Arabidopsis thaliana: one gene and its partners. The protein of the gene in region 1 interacts with the protein of each later gene in a pairwise test. Each region holds a gene or a part of one and is shown in the gene's direction. Other genes may lie near its edges. The genes, in order: ATE1, AT1G20910, TCP3 and AT2G22760.

The links.
Region 2: the proteins of ATE1 (region 1) and AT1G20910 interact in binary tests that used the Arabidopsis thaliana proteins (3 or more experiments, as listed by UniProt).
Region 3: the proteins of ATE1 (region 1) and TCP3 interact in binary tests that used the Arabidopsis thaliana proteins (3 or more experiments, as listed by UniProt).
Region 4: the proteins of ATE1 (region 1) and AT2G22760 interact in binary tests that used the Arabidopsis thaliana proteins (3 or more experiments, as listed by UniProt).

The regions. Positions count from the first base shown.
Region 1 is NC_003076.8:1,712,145-1,717,547, reverse strand, and holds ATE1 (arginine-tRNA protein transferase 1), read left to right. Parts: upstream 1-1,816; 5' UTR 1,817-1,908; coding exon 1,909-2,041; intron 2,042-2,202; coding exon 2,203-2,241; exon of another isoform or gene 2,242-2,333; coding exon 2,334-2,484; intron 2,485-2,714; coding exon 2,715-3,815; intron 3,816-3,996; coding exon 3,997-4,354; intron 4,355-4,481; coding exon 4,482-4,598; 3' UTR 4,599-4,878; downstream 4,879-5,403. Other genes in the region: AT5G05720 (RNA-binding (RRM/RBD/RNP motifs) family protein), read right to left, coding at 153-185, 268-382, 450-560, 676-677; AT5G05710 (Pleckstrin homology (PH) domain superfamily protein), read right to left, coding at 1,171-1,605. UniProt on the Arabidopsis thaliana protein: Involved in the post-translational conjugation of arginine to the N-terminal aspartate or glutamate of a protein. This arginylation is required for degradation of the protein via the ubiquitin pathway. Component of the N-end rule pathway with ATE2 and PRT6.
Region 2 is NC_003070.9:7,276,399-7,283,181, reverse strand, and holds AT1G20910 (ARID/BRIGHT DNA-binding domain-containing protein), read left to right. Parts: upstream 1-1,945; 5' UTR 1,946-2,203; intron 2,204-2,531; 5' UTR 2,532-2,546; coding exon 2,547-2,834; intron 2,835-2,967; coding exon 2,968-3,101; intron 3,102-3,186; coding exon 3,187-3,226; intron 3,227-3,595; coding exon 3,596-3,648; intron 3,649-3,744; coding exon 3,745-3,790; intron 3,791-4,048; coding exon 4,049-4,141; intron 4,142-4,583; coding exon 4,584-4,706; intron 4,707-4,861; coding exon 4,862-4,910; intron 4,911-4,987; coding exon 4,988-5,051; intron 5,052-5,221; coding exon 5,222-5,288; intron 5,289-5,399; coding exon 5,400-5,450; intron 5,451-5,692; coding exon 5,693-5,785; coding exon of another isoform or gene 5,786-5,863; exon of another isoform or gene 5,864-5,877; coding exon 5,878-5,973; 3' UTR 5,974-6,239; downstream 6,240-6,783.
Region 3 is NC_003070.9:19,849,242-19,853,444, reverse strand, and holds TCP3 (TEOSINTE BRANCHED 1, cycloidea and PCF transcription factor 3), read left to right. Parts: upstream 1-1,719; 5' UTR 1,720-2,009; coding exon 2,010-3,185; 3' UTR 3,186-3,243; exon of another isoform or gene 3,244-3,244; intron 3,245-3,337; 3' UTR 3,338-3,657; downstream 3,658-4,203. UniProt on the Arabidopsis thaliana protein: Plays a pivotal role in the control of morphogenesis of shoot organs by negatively regulating the expression of boundary-specific genes such as CUC genes, probably through the induction of miRNA (e.g. miR164). Participates in ovule development.
Region 4 is NC_003071.7:9,676,067-9,680,023, forward strand, and holds AT2G22760 (basic helix-loop-helix (bHLH) DNA-binding superfamily protein), read left to right. Parts: upstream 1-1,777; 5' UTR 1,778-1,945; coding exon 1,946-2,386; intron 2,387-2,524; coding exon 2,525-2,902; coding exon of another isoform or gene 2,903-2,938; exon of another isoform or gene 2,939-3,030; coding exon 3,031-3,099; 3' UTR 3,100-3,436; downstream 3,437-3,957.

The DNA.
Region 1 (5,403 bases):
GAACGTAAAAATAGATTCAACCAAAAAAACTTTGTTACAATGAATGCTTCGATTTGTTTGAGTGTTTTTGATAAAGAATGTTGACAACAGAAAAAGAGTTTGAAAGGCTAGCCGAGATCTTGTTCATGAGAATGTTCACTATTTTCATTAACCTTCCCTTCTTCCCTCGGAGGAGGGTCCGCAACCTATATACCAAGGAGAATCTGATTTAGATTTGAAACTAGTACTACATAAGTGAAACTGAGTAATTAAGTGAAGATTAATAACCTCAACAGATATTCGATAAGTATCAATGAAACACTTGTTAACATATGTGATAGCATCTTGAGCTTCTTGTTCAGTACGAAAGCCAATATAAGCAAATTGTCTACTTTTGCCATCACTGCAAAAGCAAAACGAAATATAGTGACACAAGAATTAGCTGTGAAAAACACTCGATTTGAATGTACCTTTTACGCTTCAATTTCACGTCTGCGATTTCTCCTTTTCGTGAAAAGACATCTCGAAGTCGTTCCTCTGTCACATGTTTGGAAGGAAGATTCTTAACGATTATCCAAGACCTGTAATTTACAGAAGGCCGAAACAAAAAAAAATAACTTGCCTACATTGATTGTTTTCTGCTAAACCTAATTAGTTAAAGGAAAAAGAAAACTGTTGTGGGAAATCAATACTTACATTCTCAAGTTAGGGTTTCTAATAGACGAAGAAGATGGATTTTGTTTCCTTCTTGCAATGTTTTTGAAGACTCTAAGAGTGTCGGACTAGGAAGAAGAAGAAGAGGAGAGGGGTTTTAGGTATTTTGTTGTTCCTTCCAGACCCGGCCCTGAATGGAAGCGGGTAGGGTTTAGGACACTTAATGACGAGAGGAACTTTCCATACATGCATCTTAGTCTGTACGACGAAGTTATTGTATTTGATCACGTGCAAAAGGTATTGCTTCTGTTACCATATTTGGTAAGTACATGTTTGAAGAACCATATAAGTCTTTGAACCAGAAGCGTTGCCCTTGAAGAATTAGGTTTTATATTATATGTTTTTCGGATATGAGTTCATGTTTTCAAGCAGAGACAAAGCTTTTCATTTCTTGATTTTGTAAGATTTACATTTAAGACTCCATCAATGAAAGCTGTGATCATAATCACTTTGACAAAAGACAAAAACAGAGAAACTTTAGTGTTTGTTATCGTAATCAACGATCTCAGAATCGGTAACGGATCTGGAGTTTTGCACGATGGAACGTCCAATGGAATTGATCCAATCTTCTTTCTCCTTCTCCGAATCAGCAATGAAGTACATAGTCTCATTTCTCGTCGATAGCTCGAACGCGTTTTGCTTGTTGAGTACATCCTCTGCTCCTTTAGCGGTTAAGCACGATTCTACGGGGACGACACCGCGAGGGCGTGACACACGCGTGACGTCGGAGTCTTTGAACCAGAAGAGTTTCCCTTGTTTGAGCACGAACCATCGGCGTCGCCAAGTCTTGATGTACTCTCCTTGTTTCGTGAGCCAGCCGGTTCGTTCTGGGTTTGACCAGAACTCTACGCCTCCGTAGTCTTCGGAATTGTTGTTCTGACCGCCGATTACTGCTCGCCACAGGCTTGCCATCTTCCGAAGATTGAACTGGAGAATTAGGGTTTTGATCCAAATCTGCCGATGCTATCGAAAATCTGTTTATCGATTCCATTATTTTTTCGTGTTTATCTTTTGCCCCAAAATGTTTTTATTTTTCATTTTCTTCCCTTAAAATATTTATAATTACATAACAACCCCTTCATTTTGCCAATTGCATAACAGTCAGCAACAATGTTTTAATATTGAAAAAAAAAGTCAAATGTGAAAGAAGATTATGTCTTCTTCTCCAAACGGAAAGAGCTTAGCAAAATTCTTCTGAATGAATAATCGGCGATTATGTCTTTGAAAAACGATGCGAGTAGTAGCCACGACGGTGGAAGCAACAGAGAAAGCGTAATCGATGATCATGGCCGCCGTAAAAGCACTTGCGGCTACTGTAAATCCCCAGCTCGGTCCAGTATCTCTCACGGTTCGTTTAATTTTGCTTTTCTTACGGATTAGGTTGTTGAATCGATCGATTAGAGTAGAATCTTCTCGAATTGCTCATATGCTTGATAAGAATTGATTTTGTTTATGATCTTAAAGTTCCAATGAATAAATGATTGATAAACATAGTGAATGTCAATGCAGGTTTATCAGCACAGACTCTTACCGTTTATGACTACCAAGGTTTGTTGCTATTATTGGACTCTATGTGTGATGAACCAATTTTGTTGACAGAATAGAGATCTTTTATGTATCTTTGCTTTACTTTTCTGTAGCTCTTATTGACCGAGGCTGGAGAAGATCTGGTACTTATCTTTACAAACATGAGATGGATAAAACGTGTTGCCCTCCTTATACGATACGTTTGAAAGCAAGTGATTTTGTTCCTACTAAAGAGCAGCAGCGAGTTTCTAGAAGACTAGAAAGGTGCATATAGCTTCACTTTGCTTCTCTTTTTGGATCAATAGATGAAAGTTTTTGTGGTGTTAGTTGTTTCATGTTATTGGCTTAGTCGGAAAGGTTTTACCTTTGAAACATGCATATGAGGAGAGATCTATGATTCTGATGTGTAAATATTCTTCACGATCTTCAGATTTCTCTAATGAAGTCGTTCATTGAAGAGCTTCCTGAATTTTCTTAATAATGTTTTGTCAAAGGTTCTTGGATGGCAAACTAGATGTGCAGCCCAGGGAACAAAGAGGTGCTTCTTCCTCTGGTGATGTTTCAGATACAAGGAGAAAAACACTTGGAGCTGCTAAAAGTGAAGAGAATAAGAAAGTTGAAGCAGTTATGGATGATTTGTCTAAAAATATTGACCAAGCTGTGCAATTATGCATACGGAGTGGGGAATTCCCGTCTAATATGCAGATACCAAAAGCTTCAGTGAAGAAGGTTTTCTGTGCTAGAAGAAAGAAACTAGCTGAAGGAACAGAACAAATCTTATACACCAGCAACATTGCTTTTCCAATAGCAGCTGCAATAAAACGCATCCAGACATCTGAGAAAGAGGGGATAAATAGTGCAGAAGGAAATAGATTATCACCTGAAACTATTTCTGAGATGTTGTTGAGTGCAATGCATAAGGTGGGGGAAACTCCTGATGTGTCTATCAAAGTCTGTAAGGGCCATATCAATTTCCTTTCATCTGCCAAAGATTCTTTTTCTGATAGAGATGTTGTACCTAATGGTAACATCTCGAGAGGAGCCAATTCTTTAGATGGAAGTGAAACCCTTCACGCTAAGAAGGATTCAGAAAACCATCAGGCAAGAAAGCGAAAGCTGGAGATACATTTGAAAAGGTCTAGTTTTGATCCTGAAGAACATGAGTTATACAAACGGTATCAGCTGAAAGTGCACAATGATAAGCCAGGGCACGTTGTAGAAAGTTCATACAGAAGGTTTTTGGTCGACTCTCCTTTAATAGATGTTCAACCTTCAGGTGATGAAAAGGTTCCGCCTTGTGGCTTCGGCTCTTTCCACCAACAATATAGAATTGATGGCCGCCTAATTGCCGTCGGGGTTGTAGACATTCTTCCTAAATGTTTGTCAAGTGTATACTTATTCTGGGATCCAGACTATGCATTCTTATCGCTCGGAAAATATTCTGCCATTCAAGAAATTAATTGGGTTATAGAGAACCAAGCTCGCTGCCCTTCTCTTCAGTATTACTATCTTGGTTATTATATACATTCCTGCAGCAAGATGAGATATAAAGCAGCCTATCGTCCATCTGAGCTTCTATGTCCTCTCCGTTTCCAGTAAGTTACAACCAAACTGAGTCGTATATTTTTTTACTCTATGCCTTAGTTTATCATTGATCTCCTCTCATATGAAGTTCTGGTACTTGTAAAAAGATATTTATGTCCTCTTCTTAGACATGTCATTGAAGTGAAGAGACTGGTAAATGTAAGTTTTTAACACTCGGAGTTGTGTTTCCAGGTGGGTTCCATTTGAAGTAGCAAGGCCGATGCTTGATAAAAAGCCATATGTCATATTGTCCGATATTGCTATTTCACATAATCAATGTTCTTTACTAGCTGGTGCTTCTGAAACTCTCGTGGAACCAGCAGCAAGTGAACATGAAGACATGGAACAAGGGGAGACGAATGATAACTTTATGGGCTGCAGTGATGAGGATGAAGATGAGGATGAGGATGATGATGATGATGATGATGATGATGAGGAAATGTATGAGACTGAATCAGAGGACTCTCATATTGAGTCAGACCCTGGATCCAAAGATAACGACATTAACAACATCCTTATCGGTCTTTATGGATCCCAATATAGATACAAGGTACATCAAACTTCTTCTTCTTTTTTTGTTTCTTTTTGAATTATCATAGCTAATTGGGTATTTATTGAGCATTATCAAACTCTCCTCATATTGATGACAACTAAACAAAAAAAAATGGATTTGGAAGGAAATGCGGCAGATCATAACTCCCGTAGGCAGGAAGCAACTGGAACCGATGTTACAAAGCTACCGCAAGGTTGTGGGCGCTGAGCTTTCAGAGAGAATGGTGTATGAAATCAACTGAAGCTTCAACAATACCAAGCTCCATTGAGCTTTGGTACCATTAGTCATTAGATAAAACTCAAAATTGTTTGTATTCATGTTTCAGTTGTTGTATATCTATGACTATGAGACTTGTACATGGTGTCTTTCTTTAAGTTTGTATTTTCTGATTACCTTTATATTGAAAAAATTTCTGTCCAAGAAGTTGAAAACTAACTTACTGTTCATGAAGTAGTTTTTGTCAATCTTTGGTACGTACATATGGTTTTGTTATGCTTTTTAATTTTTGCAAGAAACAAACTACAAATAGAGAGGTTTTATTACGATAATAAAAGTTTATAATAATAACTATTGGGAGATATCCAAAACTATATTATTTGTAATATTATCGAGCTACATATCAGCAATTCAGCATTACAGATATAAATGTATAAAAAATAGTAAAAGGAGAAAGGGAATGAGGAGGAGAGAGGCGCACGTGGGGAGGCCTGACAGTGAAAAAGAAAGGCAAAGGCCCACACGAGCAGATTTCAGACTTTGGGAAGTGTTAAGTAAAAAAGAATAAAGGTTTTTTAAATTTTTTTTAACATTCTCAGAATTTTTGCAGCAGAACACTTTTTACCACATCTCTCACACGTGTGCCCCTCCTCGTCTTCCGTAATCTTCTTTTTTTTTCTTGACCCTTTTGACCGCTAGCTACTTCTCCTACTAGGAGTATCTTCTTCTTCTTTTTTTCTTTTTTAAAATGTATTTGAAACTACCAATTTAAATCCAAAGAGTTTTGAAGCTTTTCTTCACAACGACACAAAATCTAGTCACGACCCGAC
Region 2 (6,783 bases), on another chromosome or scaffold:
TTTTTCCATAGCATACTATCCCATGTTATTATCCACTCAAACCCGTCACACCATATAACCCCGTCCCGTGAAATTAAACACAAATTTGTCATTTTATTATAAATTTTAAATATTTATAAAATTAGAAACTTCAAAAAAGATTAATATTGACCCAAACTTCATCATTGAATTTTGAGTGTTATATCTAAGATTTCTCTCGCAGTATATCGTCCCGTATTAATATCTTTTATATTGTTTAAATTTCTTGTAATATTTAATTTATAATTTTTTAAACTTTTTAAAGTTTCAATTTTTTAAAATAAATAACCCTAGTAAAACAAACCATTTTAATTTTGGACACCTCATAAATCAAGTTTCATGCTCATTCGTAATCGAAATCATTTTGGTCCTTTTTATAGTATGGCTCTTGACCATTGTCCAATTTTTTTAAGCGATATAGAACATTCTAAAATCGTAATTATTATCCACCCAAACCCGTCCTACCATATAATCCAGTCCCGTGAAATTAAACATAATTTTGTCATTTTCTTATAAATTTCAATATTATAAAATTTGAAACTTAAAAAAATACAATATCGACCCAATTTTTAAGATTTTTCCTGTAATATATCATCTCGTATTAATATATTTTTTCTATATTTGTAATGTTTAAATTTCTTGTAAAATTCAATTTATAATTTTTAAAACTTTATAAGTTTTAAAATTATAAATATTTAAAGCATTTTTTAAAGATAAACTTTATAAAAAGTTTTTAAAATTATAATATTTAACATTTGATAAAGTTATAATATTTATAATTTTTTGAAACATTTTAAAGTTTTAATTCTTTAAAATAAAAAATCCGAGTAAAATCGGATAACTATTTTAATTTTGGACGCCTGATAAATCAAGCTTCATGCTCATTCATAATCAGAATCATTTTGGTCCTTTTATAATATGGGTCTGAACCATTGTCCAATTTTTCTAAGCGATGTTGGACATTGTACACATATTATTTCTTCATAGGTTGAATAATATATGTCCGTTTTAAAAAATTTGAATTACATCATATTCAGAAAAAAATATAATATTTTATTAACTATATATATTTTATATAAATTCAAAATAAATAAAGTATAAGATCAAATAAAATTGAAAGAAGAATTATATATTTATGTTTAAATTAGGTAGAAATATTTTAGGAAATTAGTTAAGGTAAATAAGAAATATGGTTAGTTTAGAGATATTGTTTATATTAAATTTGGTAATTAAATCATTAATTTTCGTTTTTAATTATTAGTTTTTAGGTAACTTTTCCAAAAACTAATGTTATCCAAGATCAGAACTGAATTAAACATGTTATCCAGGATCTGAACAGAGTTAAGCCGAGTAAAACCCACCCATTTGAATTAATTGTTGAATTATGGCTCAAATCTTCAACATTATCTTCAAAAATCCCCTCCAAACATGTATATATAGATATTTCCATTATGATATAGTTTTCACATCTTAACTCCAAATCATGAAACCTAAATTTTATTTCCAAGTCTCAACATCATATATTTTAATTATCATCTTGAACTTCTTGTTAAAAATATAAAATTAATTCATAAACTTTTCTATAAACCTAAGTTTTTTAATATTTTTTGTATCGTATTTATACTAATTTCGATCTTCTTTGTTTCCTCCGTAATCGTTGTCGTAATTTCGTAAACCTAAATTTCATATAGCTCCTTTCTTCTATGTATATATGTTTTGTACAATGTTTCATATATATAATAACACCCTTTGGCAAAAAAAAAAAAAAAACTTTTTCAATGTTTATCTTTCGTGGTTATTACATATAGTAGAAATCCCAACATTCAACAACAATAAAAGGTTACAAATCCTATATTTACCAAAAATTAAGAAAGTCTAAAAAGACTAATAGATACAAAAAGAAGAAAAGAAATTGTTTACTTTTTGAGTGTAAAACAAATTAAAGTTAAAAACCACATAACATCCCCCATCCCATCTTTTTTACTAATACCTTCCTCCATTAACATAAGATTGTCTCTCCTCTTTCGAATTGTCTCTCCTTTTTCAGCTCTCTCTCTGTATCTCCTTCTTCTTCTTCTTCCTCCAGCTTCTTTCAATTTCTCCGGCTGCTAAACCCTAGCGCGCCGTCGGAGTCCCTGCGTTCTCATACCAACCTTTACTCGCCGTCGCCGTCGCTGCAGAACTGGTAAGCATATGTTTTTTTTTGCTGCTCTCTGTATTCTATGGAAGCTGAAAGGTCTTCTCGGCTTGTTTATCTGTGGTAGTTTTGATTAGGATGAGGTTTTGTAGTAATAGAGTGAGTGAGTTTGCTCCAATTCTTAATTGCGTTTAGAGATAGAAGAGAGAGAGAGAGAGAAGCTATAGTTTCCAGGCGGAGAAGAAAGACAATTCCTTTTTGTTTAATCTGGAATCACCAATAGTTAGTTATATACAGTTTTTTTATCTTCTTCGTTTTTTTCTTCTGGATTTGTTCTTTTGTCCTTGTCTTGCTGTGACTGACTACTCCACAACAGAAATCGAAGCTTAAGATGGTGGATACCGAAATGCAAGAGCAAGATGTGACTTTTGGTGCCCTTGTTGAGACAAAGTATTTAGAGGAAGAACCTTTGGAGCCAGAAAATGATCACAACCCTAGTGAAATCCCGCAGCCCCTTCTTCTTGGAGATGGTCAGGCTAATAATGGTCATGGCATGAATGGTGGTGCTGTTGGAGTTGTTGACCACTCTGAAAGGAAGACTCGTAGGGTGCAAATGTTGAGTCCTAAGACTGAAGGTGAGAATGCCAAAAAGAGGAAGACTTGGCTGCTGGATTCTGAGGTACTAGGCTATGTTTCTTTCAATTTGGCTCAAAAAGCCTGTGTCTTTTTGTTTTCTCAGGATTGGATTTCACTGTTTTGTGGTCGAAAATTATGTGGTGATTGTTCACTTACTGGTTCACCTTTCTCTACAGGCACAGGGAACTGATGAAGCAGGGACACCGGTAGAACAAGTGGCGTTTCTAAGAGAAGTGGAGGCCTTTTACAAAGAGAGTTTCCTGGAATTTAAACCTCCTAAGTTTTATGGACAGCCTTTAAACATTCTCAAGTGAGTTGTTGGAAAAGTGGTGCTTTTGTTCTTAATAAACCCATATATCTGGTTAATCAGTGCCTCACTTTTGCATCCAATGTAGGCTTTGGCGAGCAGTCGTGAACCTAGGTGGCTATGAAGTGGTAATTATCCAAAACCATATCGTTTTTAGTTCGTCAGTTTATAAGTCTTGGTTATTTAAGTTGGCCCGTATGATTATCACCTACATTTTATTGTTTGAATTGTGGATGGCATATGAACTGTATATAGGGTATAACTATTGAATCCGTAAGCTAATTTATGATAAGAGTATCTATAACGATGTGGCTTTCAGAGAAGATTTATGACTTTAAGCGAACATATCAAACATTAAAGAATGTTCGATATTTTCTTGGGAAACTGATTTATTTTACTGTTGTTAGCTATATTTGGAATTATATATTCAATGTTTTCTTAATCTTCTGCTGGACTTATGGTCTTTAAGATTCCTTTGTTTTTTCATGGTAATGTAGGTCACCACAAATAAGCTGTGGCGGCAAGTTGGAGAATCCTTCAATCCTCCCAAGTATGGCTGATATTTTCCTTAGACTCTCCGTTAGTCTTTACCAATTTTTCATAATGCTAATCTTTTTCCACATTTGGTTAAACTATCTTTATTCAGGACATGCACAACAGTCTCCTACACATTCCGCAATTTCTATGAGAAGGTGAGTTTGTTTTTGTGCATAAGTATCGTATATTTATCCTGTCTTCATTTTTACTTATCCACTTCAGACAATTCTCCTTGTGCTTCTTCTTAGTATGGTGTGTTATAATAGTTAGTTTAATTCTTTGTCTTGCTGAGGTAGCTCTTTATTTTGGACTATTCTTTTGTCACTTCGAAGTTTGAATGCACTGCTTGTTTTCTTTCTATCTTATCATATAGATACAGGTACATATGATCTATATCTTTGCTTCAATTGCAGGCACTTTTGGAGTACGAAAAGTGTTTAAGGAATAATGGTGAGCTTAACCTTCCTGGTTCAACATTGATTCTGTCTTCCAGTGTCGAGAAAGAGGTATGAATTTCCCCTAAAAAAATGGCTTTTGGATTTTAGACACTACTGAATAATATATAGAAATAATGGTAGATATGGAAAGTTTGGATGAAGATCGATCTAGCACCGTAAAATTAATGAAGAGTATCTACTTGTCAATTTATTGTGGGAAGGTTTCATGTACTGTGATTAAATGTCGTTGATACTGAAGAAATGATAGCATAAGAGTTATTTTTCAGCATTTATGTAATACCAGCTAAACCTTTTAAACCCAACTATCTGCAATCTGACTGAAGAAAGCTGTAGCCATTTTGTGTTCGATACAAAAGCCATAAGAAATCCGTGTGCATAACCCAGTAAATTACCATATAAGTTGCAGAAAACCTAAACGAAAATTCATGTGCCTCCCTTTTTTTCCCTTCTCCATATTTTTTTCTTCCCTGATACAAGGACTTTGCTGTAGCCAAGTAGCCATCAAGGTTCAGGGTCAGGCAGGGCACGAAGAGATTCTGCAGCTCGTGCTATGCAAGGTTGGCATGCGCAGCGCCTTGTTGGATCTGGAGAGGTTACTGCGCCTGCTGTTAAGGTTTCACTTCAAATCTTACTGCACTTTGTGATTCCATTATGCAGAATTTTTTCATGCACCAAGGAATCTGACTCACATGTAGAAAGAAGAAGACTTTTTATTTCTTTTGTCGTTTTTTATTTCGGAAGTAAAATGATGTTCTCCTTTTGTTTCAGGATAAGGGCTTAATTTCCACCCCAAAGCACAAGAAACTCAAAAGCATTGGTACAAAATAGTTCTCAAGGCTTTGCTATTTTGTCAACGAGGGTTGCTTAACGTTATGTTTTAAACGGTTTTTTCAGGGCTGCAAAAACACAAACAACAAACTAGCATGGACCATGTTGTTACAAATGAAGCTGACAAACAGTTACGGAAAGCTGATCTCTCCTTCTTATTTGCAATTCTAAGATAGTTATATTAGTTTTTTGGTTCTTCTTTCAATGCCTCTTAGCAGTAATGAGATGAAAACGTAGCATTTTCTGGACCTGAACATATTACTATAGATTAACGTTAAGGTTTCCTTTTTGTCATGATAGGTTGGCTGCTGAGGTTGTTGATGTTGGACCCGTTGCTGACTGGGTGAAGATAAATGTCAAAGAATCTGTGAGTAACTTCTGCCAACGGCTAAAGAAACGCCAAAAACTTGCAAACTGGATGTTTGTTTCCAATATGGAATTCTTACCAAATCTGTTTTCCTTTTTCTTGAATTCACAGAAGGATTCCTTCGAGATATTTGCCTTGGTACCTGGACTTCTTCGCAAAGAGGTGAGCACTCCTTTGTAACCCTGTCTCTGAAGGCTACTTGATAAGTCCTTGTCTTTTAATTTTGTTTGAATGCATATTACTGTGACAATACAAAGCAAGCACAAAGCGATTTGGTAGGTTACCAAAGCAGATCCGTTGGCTTTAGTTTCATAGTCTCAGTACACAGTGTTGTAGGCAATAAGTATTTTCTGGTAAAATCAGTACATAGTTCCAATTACTGAACATACGTTGTCTTTTCTCAGGTTCGAATTCAATCAGATCCTGCGGGAAAGGTGGTTATAACAGGCCAGCCAGAGCAGCTTGACAATCCTTGGGGGATTACACCCTTCAAAAAGGTAAAACTTTCTTCTATATTCCAGATATGTCCATTAACTGAACTGATACAGAGACTGAGAACCTTCCTGTCATTTTGATATGTTTTCACCAGATTGTTGACTTATCAGCAAGAATTGATCCGCTTCACACATCCGCGGTCATGAGCATGCATGGACGGTTGTTCATACGAGTTCCGTTTGAGCAGTAATGGATTTCAAGAGAGCTGGTCAGTTGTTCGTGGTTTCTTCTAGGAATTCATATGTTTCAGAACCAAATTGTTAGGCGGCTGAAGCAGTTTTGTAACTGTGATTTGAATCTGAAGACTGAAGTTAGGAACATGCAACAAACATTTGATCTTACTGTAATATTTCTCTTTTGTATAATTTGAGATTAGTAGGAGAAACTGCTCCAAAGACATTTAGGATGCAACCAACAATGATGATTTTGATCTAAAATCGGAATGTTATGCTTTTCTTATACATATTTTTTTAATAGAGATGAATAGATTTGCCTATCCCATCTACTAGTTCTACTTCCAATAGTATACTTTTAGGTTCTCATGCGTTTCGGTTTTCAAAAGTTCTCCTGAGATGATTTGTTTTCAAAAAGTGAAAGTGAAAGTATGCATATATTGGTGGTGCATATTATTAAAGGGAAAACGAAAACAGCAAAAAACTTATTGACATTTCCCTGAATCTAAAAAGTTCATGATCGGGAATATATGATTTAGAAAAGAAAAAAAGGTTCATTACTTGTTTATATATATATATATATATGTATCATCAATTCATGACGAAAATTTAAGGTTCAAAAGTTTTGAAGCTCACTCTAGTTTTTGAGTCATCAGAAAATACTGCAGTATTAAGACAAGAAACATTATTCTCAACTTGTTTTCTTTCTCTTTAATCATGCAAAAAGGTTCACACTTCACAGTGATCAAAAAAGGTTTTTTATTGCTGATTCTCAACTTGGTGTAGCTCAATTGCATGTAAGGCACATGACATGACCGCATGGGAAT
Region 3 (4,203 bases), on another chromosome or scaffold:
GGGGAGTGTACTTACTGACACACATGCGATCGAAAAACACTAAAAGCCTATAGGGTATATTCGTAAATTTATTTAGACTACACTTGGTTGAGTAGGTGCAATGGGAAACATTTATTTGAAATTTGATTCCATCTTTGCCTTACATATCGATACGTCATCTTTTTATGTGTGCATTGTCATTATTTGATGATCAAGAATATGGTACCAAATACATTATATATCAGAAAAGTTCGTATGACTACGGGTATTTAATTAAAAATACAGTACATGCATGGTCGGTGTGTATAATGGAGAAGTAGTTAGAAAGAGAATTTGTGGTAATGACAAAAAAATGGAAAACAATAATTGATTGTGTCCTAAACCAGTGAACCGTGCGATATTTCGTGCCTTTAAATTTGATGTTGCATGTCGTAGAACGATGTTTTGATAATTTCTTCTCTTGGGAAGGTAAAAGAAAAAATTATGGATTCAATGCAGATTGGCTCGATGAGTAGGAAACGCACTTACAAAAAACATAAATCTCCTATCTACAATCACATATTTCTTCTTATATCTCTCTTGAAATCTCTACATGAATCACACCTAAAATGTTCATATTTAATCACATACCATACTTGTATTAGTATGTCAAATGCTCGGGATTTCCTTGTTAACAAAAAAGAAAAAAAAAACTGATTGAGTTACCAAATTACGTATATATACACATTTTTATCTTTGTTTAAAGGAAATTCAAGTTAATTTTAAACTAAAACTATGTACAAGTATGTATCTCTATTATTTTCGTTTTCCATCTGAAACTTTACTACGTTTGGTTAATTAAAAGTGGGATTGACGAACAGTGGAGTTCGAGAACAGATAGTGGAAAGGAGCATAGACAATGGTTGATTATAGGGATACTGTCGAATCCTACGGATACTGGTGATGCATTTTACAGGGTGTAACCTCTAAAACCAATACAATTTGATTCGATGAAAATAATACTTTATTTGTTTAAAATAATACCATCAATATTAGTTTATACCGCCCAATTATTAGTGTCTCCAACTCTCCAACAGATCTAAAAGCTTTACTTTTTAGTTTTTATTATAAAAGAAATCTTCTTGTATTGTCTTTTTTTCCAACAACCCAAAACCTTTACTACCTCAAAAGTTCTGTATTAATATTTTCTAACACAGTACAGAACAATCTTTGACTTGGTAAAATTTGGGTTTATTAGTGCTTATAGTTTCTATCATCTTTAACAAAAAAAAATAGTGGTAGTCAGAACCAAACCTAAGAGGACTATGTATATGTGTTGATATTCTTACAGTAACCTCTACCAAAATATATCCATTGTAATGTATATAGCTAATACAATTCGAAATGTCATGTAAAATATTTCCACATGATGAATCGGACAAAAGCTTTTTGTTTTTCATTTAGAAAAACCATAAAATATATAATATAAAATAAGAAAACACTTTAAAAATGAAATAAAAGCACAAGTGATGATGATGAGTATCAGAGAGCTCTTTTTATGACCAAACACACTCCTTCCATTACCATTTCCCTCTCTTCCCCAAACCCCAAAATCTCTTCCTTTTTTTACCGTTACTGTAAATTTTCCGGCCAGAAACAAAAAATTAAAAAGAGCTTTCCTGGATTCTCGTTTAGTCAATTCCACATCTCTCTATCTCTTCTCTCTCTTCTTGCTTCCTCTGTTTTTGCTTCTTGAATTCTCAGAAACAGAGACAAATTCTAAAAAAGAAACAATCTTTAGACAAAAGAAGAGAAATTTAGTCATGGGTTAGTCTGCAAAATTCAATTACGTCTTCTTCTTCTTCTTCTTCTTCATCTTTGATTTGTTGGCGTGTTTAGGGTTTGGGATTTGGAGGAGAGGCAAAATGTTGAATTAAATAAATCGAACGACTCTGGATTCCTCGGCGGTTAACGACCGCCGTCGCCGCCGCCGTCATAATCCAACCACCACCACCATCAACGACCTTGAATTTCCACAATATGCTTCATCAATGGCACCAGATAACGACCATTTCTTAGATTCTCCGTCGCCGCCTCTTCTAGAGATGAGACACCACCAATCAGCGACGGAGAACGGTGGTGGTTGCGGCGAGATTGTGGAGGTACAAGGAGGTCACATTGTTCGGTCAACAGGAAGAAAAGACAGACATAGTAAAGTATGTACAGCGAAAGGACCACGTGACCGGCGCGTGAGACTCTCAGCTCCGACGGCGATTCAATTCTACGATGTTCAAGATAGACTTGGTTTTGATCGACCAAGTAAAGCTGTTGATTGGCTTATTACTAAAGCTAAATCCGCCATTGATGATCTTGCTCAGCTTCCTCCTTGGAACCCCGCCGATACTCTTCGTCAACACGCCGCCGCTGCTGCTAACGCTAAACCCAGAAAAACCAAAACTTTAATTTCTCCGCCACCGCCACAACCGGAAGAAACAGAGCATCATCGAATCGGAGAAGAAGAAGATAACGAATCGAGTTTTCTTCCGGCGTCAATGGATTCTGATTCGATAGCTGACACTATAAAGTCGTTTTTTCCGGTAGCTTCAACGCAACAGAGCTATCATCATCAGCCACCGTCACGAGGCAATACACAGAACCAAGATCTTCTTCGTCTCTCGCTTCAATCTTTCCAAAATGGTCCACCTTTTCCTAATCAAACAGAACCTGCTCTGTTCTCCGGCCAGAGCAATAATCAGTTAGCGTTTGACTCATCGACGGCAAGCTGGGAACAGAGTCATCAGTCACCGGAATTTGGAAAGATACAGAGACTAGTGTCATGGAACAACGTCGGAGCAGCTGAATCCGCCGGAAGTACCGGAGGATTTGTGTTTGCTTCTCCGTCGTCGTTGCATCCAGTTTATAGCCAAAGTCAGCTTTTATCACAGAGGGGTCCCCTTCAGTCCATTAACACACCTATGATTCGTGCTTGGTTTGATCCTCACCATCATCATCATCATCATCAGCAGTCCATGACCACTGACGATCTCCACCATCATCATCCCTACCATATCCCTCCCGGGATTCACCAATCTGCTATTCCAGGCATTGCATTTGCTTCAAGTGGTGAATTCTCCGGTTTTCGTATACCAGCACGGTTTCAAGGCGAACAAGAGGAGCACGGCGGCGACAACAAGCCGTCCTCTGCTTCATCCGATTCTCGCCATTAAACAAGTTCCAAAAACACATAAGATTGTGCAACACAACAGGTTTCTTTTCATATTCCAGGTTTGAAGTTTTTCGAAAACAACACCCATTTGTGAAAGTCTTGTCTTTTAACCATTCATCAAATTGATAACTTACATTGTTTTTAACGTTTCAGGGCGCTTCGAATGCGTGGAATAGTGAAGGCGGTTTTCGTTGTTGTGTGTTTCGAATATCCAAATGGCCTATAAATCTGATCAACAGTTTCAGGTTCTTCTTAAGTCTTTAAAAGCCTAGGCCTTGGTTAATTTGAATTCATCTTGTATCAATTAGAGAACGTTCTGTAAGTTCAATTCTGTTTTACAATGTTTAGCTCTAGCTACATGAGCTCACATCTTGTTTGTTGTAACTTGTTCTACAATTACTTGTCCTTTATTTATGTTCTTGTGTTGGAAACCTTTAACCCCACTTGAAGCTAAAGTCTTTTGTTTGCCCTTTATTCCATGTGGGTTTAATGCTTTCCCCAAGAAATATCTCATTTTGTTTGCCAATCCCAAAGAGGAACAGTGCTCTATCCATCTACATCAATCATCATATTGTTTGGTTTAGCGTTTATTAGAAGTATTATCTTCCCAATCTCTGTGGTTATAAACTTTCTTTTGACTAGCAAATGGAATTTGAAACAATCATTTCTCTTGTGTTTCTTAGTCTCTTCTTTTGGCCCCATAGATGAAGAGTCACTTTCCATAGACAGGGTTTGCATGTGTTGCTTCTTTTGGAGTTTAGAGTTTAGAATTATGGGTTTCTTTTAAAATTTGTTTAGTGGATGCAAGCTCTGATACTTAGTAAGAGTTTTGGCCCATGATCCACGGATCCCTATATAAATATCAGAGAAATGGTTTTTGACTTCTTTTCATAGAATCTTCCTCAATACTAGATTTCAAGATTTTATGAAAAAGGAGCAAAAGAGAATTTGATGTCTAGTGTCAAATAACTGTCTACTTTAAACAAGAGTGTAGGAGATCCACCGAACTTGAGTGTGAT
Region 4 (3,957 bases), on another chromosome or scaffold:
CATTTGTCTCACTTTATATCATAAATAAAAAAATATTATATGTTATCCAGATTTCGTATCCAAAATTTTCTAACAAAATCTCCATTTTATAATTCTACTGACCTTTTTAAAAGGCACTGTTGTGACTTCATTTCAAGAGATACGTACCAAATCTTTATTATCAAATATATCGTGACGATAGACATGTACACACATATAATTGTAGTACGCATTACTACGGAAAGAATATTCCAAGAGCTTACCAATTCCATGCCGCATACATTGGCGTTTATCCTAAGTTAGACTTAGGATTCCTAACGTTCCGAATTTGCGTTGGAGAGCAAGTTCCTGATCTGCTTACGGAAAAATATATTCAAACTCAAATTGCGAATGCCGAGACCATTTCAATTTTTGGGTTTTTGTCGAAGGGATGATGAGCAAATTAAAGCTAGTCCACCTTTTTAATAAAATTGCTTGTGAAGAAGAAACAATTAGGTCCAATATTACTAGAGACAAAGGCAATTTATAATTTTAATATTTTTGGTACTGTTTAAAAAAAACTATCAGTACCAATTGAACAATTTCTAATTTTGATATTTATAATTTAGTTAAAAATATGTTTGTCATATTAATTCTTTTTTTGCTCATATTAATTCATTATCCAGTTTTTTAGTCATTACATTTTTATTTTTTTTTTGTTTAGTCATTACATTGAATTAGTCGAATCAGTACATAATCGTTTCATCAGAGAACTAGTGAATTAAACCGACCCAGACTAATTGGAAGCCTTAATTTTGGATCTTATATTGTAGGCATATTAACTTTTTAATTTTCTTACATAAATCCTTCATATGAAATGTTTGTTTTTAAATGGCCATGGCCCAGAACCATTGCATTTTTGGGCTGGATAGTGGATGTATATGTGAATTCGTCATCATACCAACCTGGTCTGGCCTCTTATTAGTGCAGTTAAGACTAAATAACCCGTTTGGTAGGGAGTAGGGACATTTATTATGTCTGGGGTCGTTATCGCCTTATCGGAATCAAATTGAGTTTAAAGACAAAACAGTATGATCGATTAATTATCAAACACAACTTGTTTATAAATGTATAGATGTCGACATCCACATGGTATCATAACTTCTTCTGCAACATATCCCTCGATATCATATCCACCATTAATCTAATTTATTGCAGTATAACGAGTCGAGATATGTTCATGAATTTTCAAACTCATTAAAAAATTGTTGTAATTTTTTGTTTCGTAAGTAAATTTTGTTTTTTTTCTCTTTCAATTTAACAATGTAATTTTCTGGATGAAAAATTTGCAAACGGTATAAAACTTAACATTTCATATGATTTTTTTTTGGATAAAATTACAATTAAAATAATAAATAAAAGATAATAAAGTATAACTTTTGTATATTTTCCTTTATAAAAAGTAATGAGGTTGTTAGATGGACGGGAAGACGGGGACGAGGCTTTACAGAGTTTTTCTATATCCTTGTTGTTTCCGAGTGGGAATAAGCTCAACACCAAAAACACGTGCTTATTTTATTTACACGTCTCTCTTCTCTTACTTTTTTTTTTTGGGTCCATAACACGTAGTTTTTTTTTTTTCAAATTCATAACACGTATATGAATCTCAGACCACTAGAAGCCAACAAATTATACGATCATTATAGACAATAATGAGAAGACTTCTAGTTTCGATCATAATATGTTTAGTTTATACATATACGTCACGTTTTATGCATTATATACACAATCTGGTCAACATAATTATGGAGTGGAGAAAATAATTTAAGCCGCGTCTCGTTGTCGAATATATAGTAAGAATACCTGAAAACACTTTCTATTCATAAACCCTTTACGACAAAACAATAAAGACGTCTCTCGATTTATCTTTGTCTTAATCAGGAAACTATTTGACATTTCTTTATCGATTATTACTTCATATTCGGGTATGGATGAAGATTTTTTCTTACCCGATTTCTCACTAGTAGACATTGATTTCGACTTTAATATTTACGAAGAAAATAATTTATCACCTGATGAATCTTTATCAAATTCACGAAGAGCTGATCAATCGTCAAAGTTTGATCATCAAATGCATTTTGAGTGCCTCAGAGAGAAGCCAAAGGCAGCGGTGAAGCCTATGATGAAGATCAACAACAAGCAACAACTGATTTCTTTTGATTTCTCTAGTAATGTTATTTCTTCTCCAGCCGCGGAGGAGATCATTATGGATAAATTGGTTGGTCGTGGAACCAAAAGAAAAACATGTTCTCATGGCACAAGATCTCCGGTTCTTGCGAAAGAACATGTTTTAGCCGAGAGAAAGCGCCGTGAGAAGCTTTCTGAAAAATTCATTGCTCTTTCAGCTCTCCTTCCCGGGCTTAAGAAGGTATTGCAAATTTAAATTGTAAATTATCGATAAATTTGTTATATATTTAACTATAGATATTTTCATAGTGAAGAAAAAATAATAATTCATCAGTGTCAATTGGTTTTGAGAATACAAAACTATCTTGTGGTTTTTTAGGCGGACAAGGTAACGATTCTTGATGACGCGATCTCGCGTATGAAACAACTCCAAGAACAACTAAGAACGCTCAAGGAAGAAAAAGAAGCAACGAGACAAATGGAATCCATGATTCTTGTAAAGAAATCTAAAGTGTTTTTCGACGAGGAACCTAACCTATCATGTTCTCCTTCAGTTCATATTGAATTCGATCAAGCATTACCAGAAATCGAAGCGAAAATTTCTCAAAATGACATTCTCATCCGAATCCTTTGCGAGAAAAGCAAAGGGTGCATGATCAACATACTAAACACAATTGAAAACTTTCAATTGCGCATTGAAAATAGCATCGTATTGCCATTCGGAGACTCGACTCTCGACATCACAGTCCTTGCACAGGTGATCATTAATAACTATATATATATGCAATACTAAAATGGATAACTCGTAGTTCATCCAATATAATATTGATGTATTAATGAAACTGATAATCTACAATTATGCTTTCTTAACTTTTTGTGTGGCAGATGGATAAAGATTTTTCGATGAGTATACTTAAGGATCTTGTACGGAACCTGAGACTCGCAATGGTTTAGGTCTTCTTTCAAGTTTTAGTAACCTGAGACTGTACATTGACACAATCGTTTCGTGGATTTGCTATCGTTTTCTTCTTGAGATTTTTTCACACGTGCCCACATGTTTGATGTGTTTTTTTAGCAAAGCTATTTCCGATAACGACCGTTGAGAATTAATTTAGATGTAACATTTTTTGTTTGTTAATAATGAATTTAAAATATAACAGAATTGTTTTTTTATTAAGTGGCAGAAATAAATGTGGCCTTATCCGCTGTCCAAAAAAAAAAAACAAATGTGGCCTTATCCTTAGCATGGTCGTAATGCCTTCTGACTTGTTAAAGTATTTTGTAATTATTGACAAACCCTCTTCAATTCTTAATGAAATTCACATTCATGTCAACAAGAAACATATTGTAGAAAGCAAACCTTTTAACCAATCAAAAAAAAAAAAAAAAAGGAAAAGAAGATTGCTTGACATTAAAAAGATATTGTAGAAAGCAAAATTACATCGAAGGTCAATGTTACAAAATTCTGAAATATTTACGAAAAAATAGTAGGGCATGAAAATGGATTAAAAGAATTAACTTAATTATCTATAGTTTTGCCCCAATAAAGATATACAATTATAGTTTTCGTAATTTATTTTGAAAGTTTCAGTAGTTAGCAAATTCAACAACTTAGCTACATTTGCTTTCGACAAAAAAAAAAGCTACATTTGCTCAAAAAAAAATGACGCTAAATTCAACCAAATTTATTACTATTTACCAATAACTATTTAGAAGTCATAGGGCAAGGGCAGTATCGGAGGGACGTGACCAAATAATAATTGCCGCACGACGCGGTACGATTAAAAGCCAATTCAAAACCTTTGAGTACCA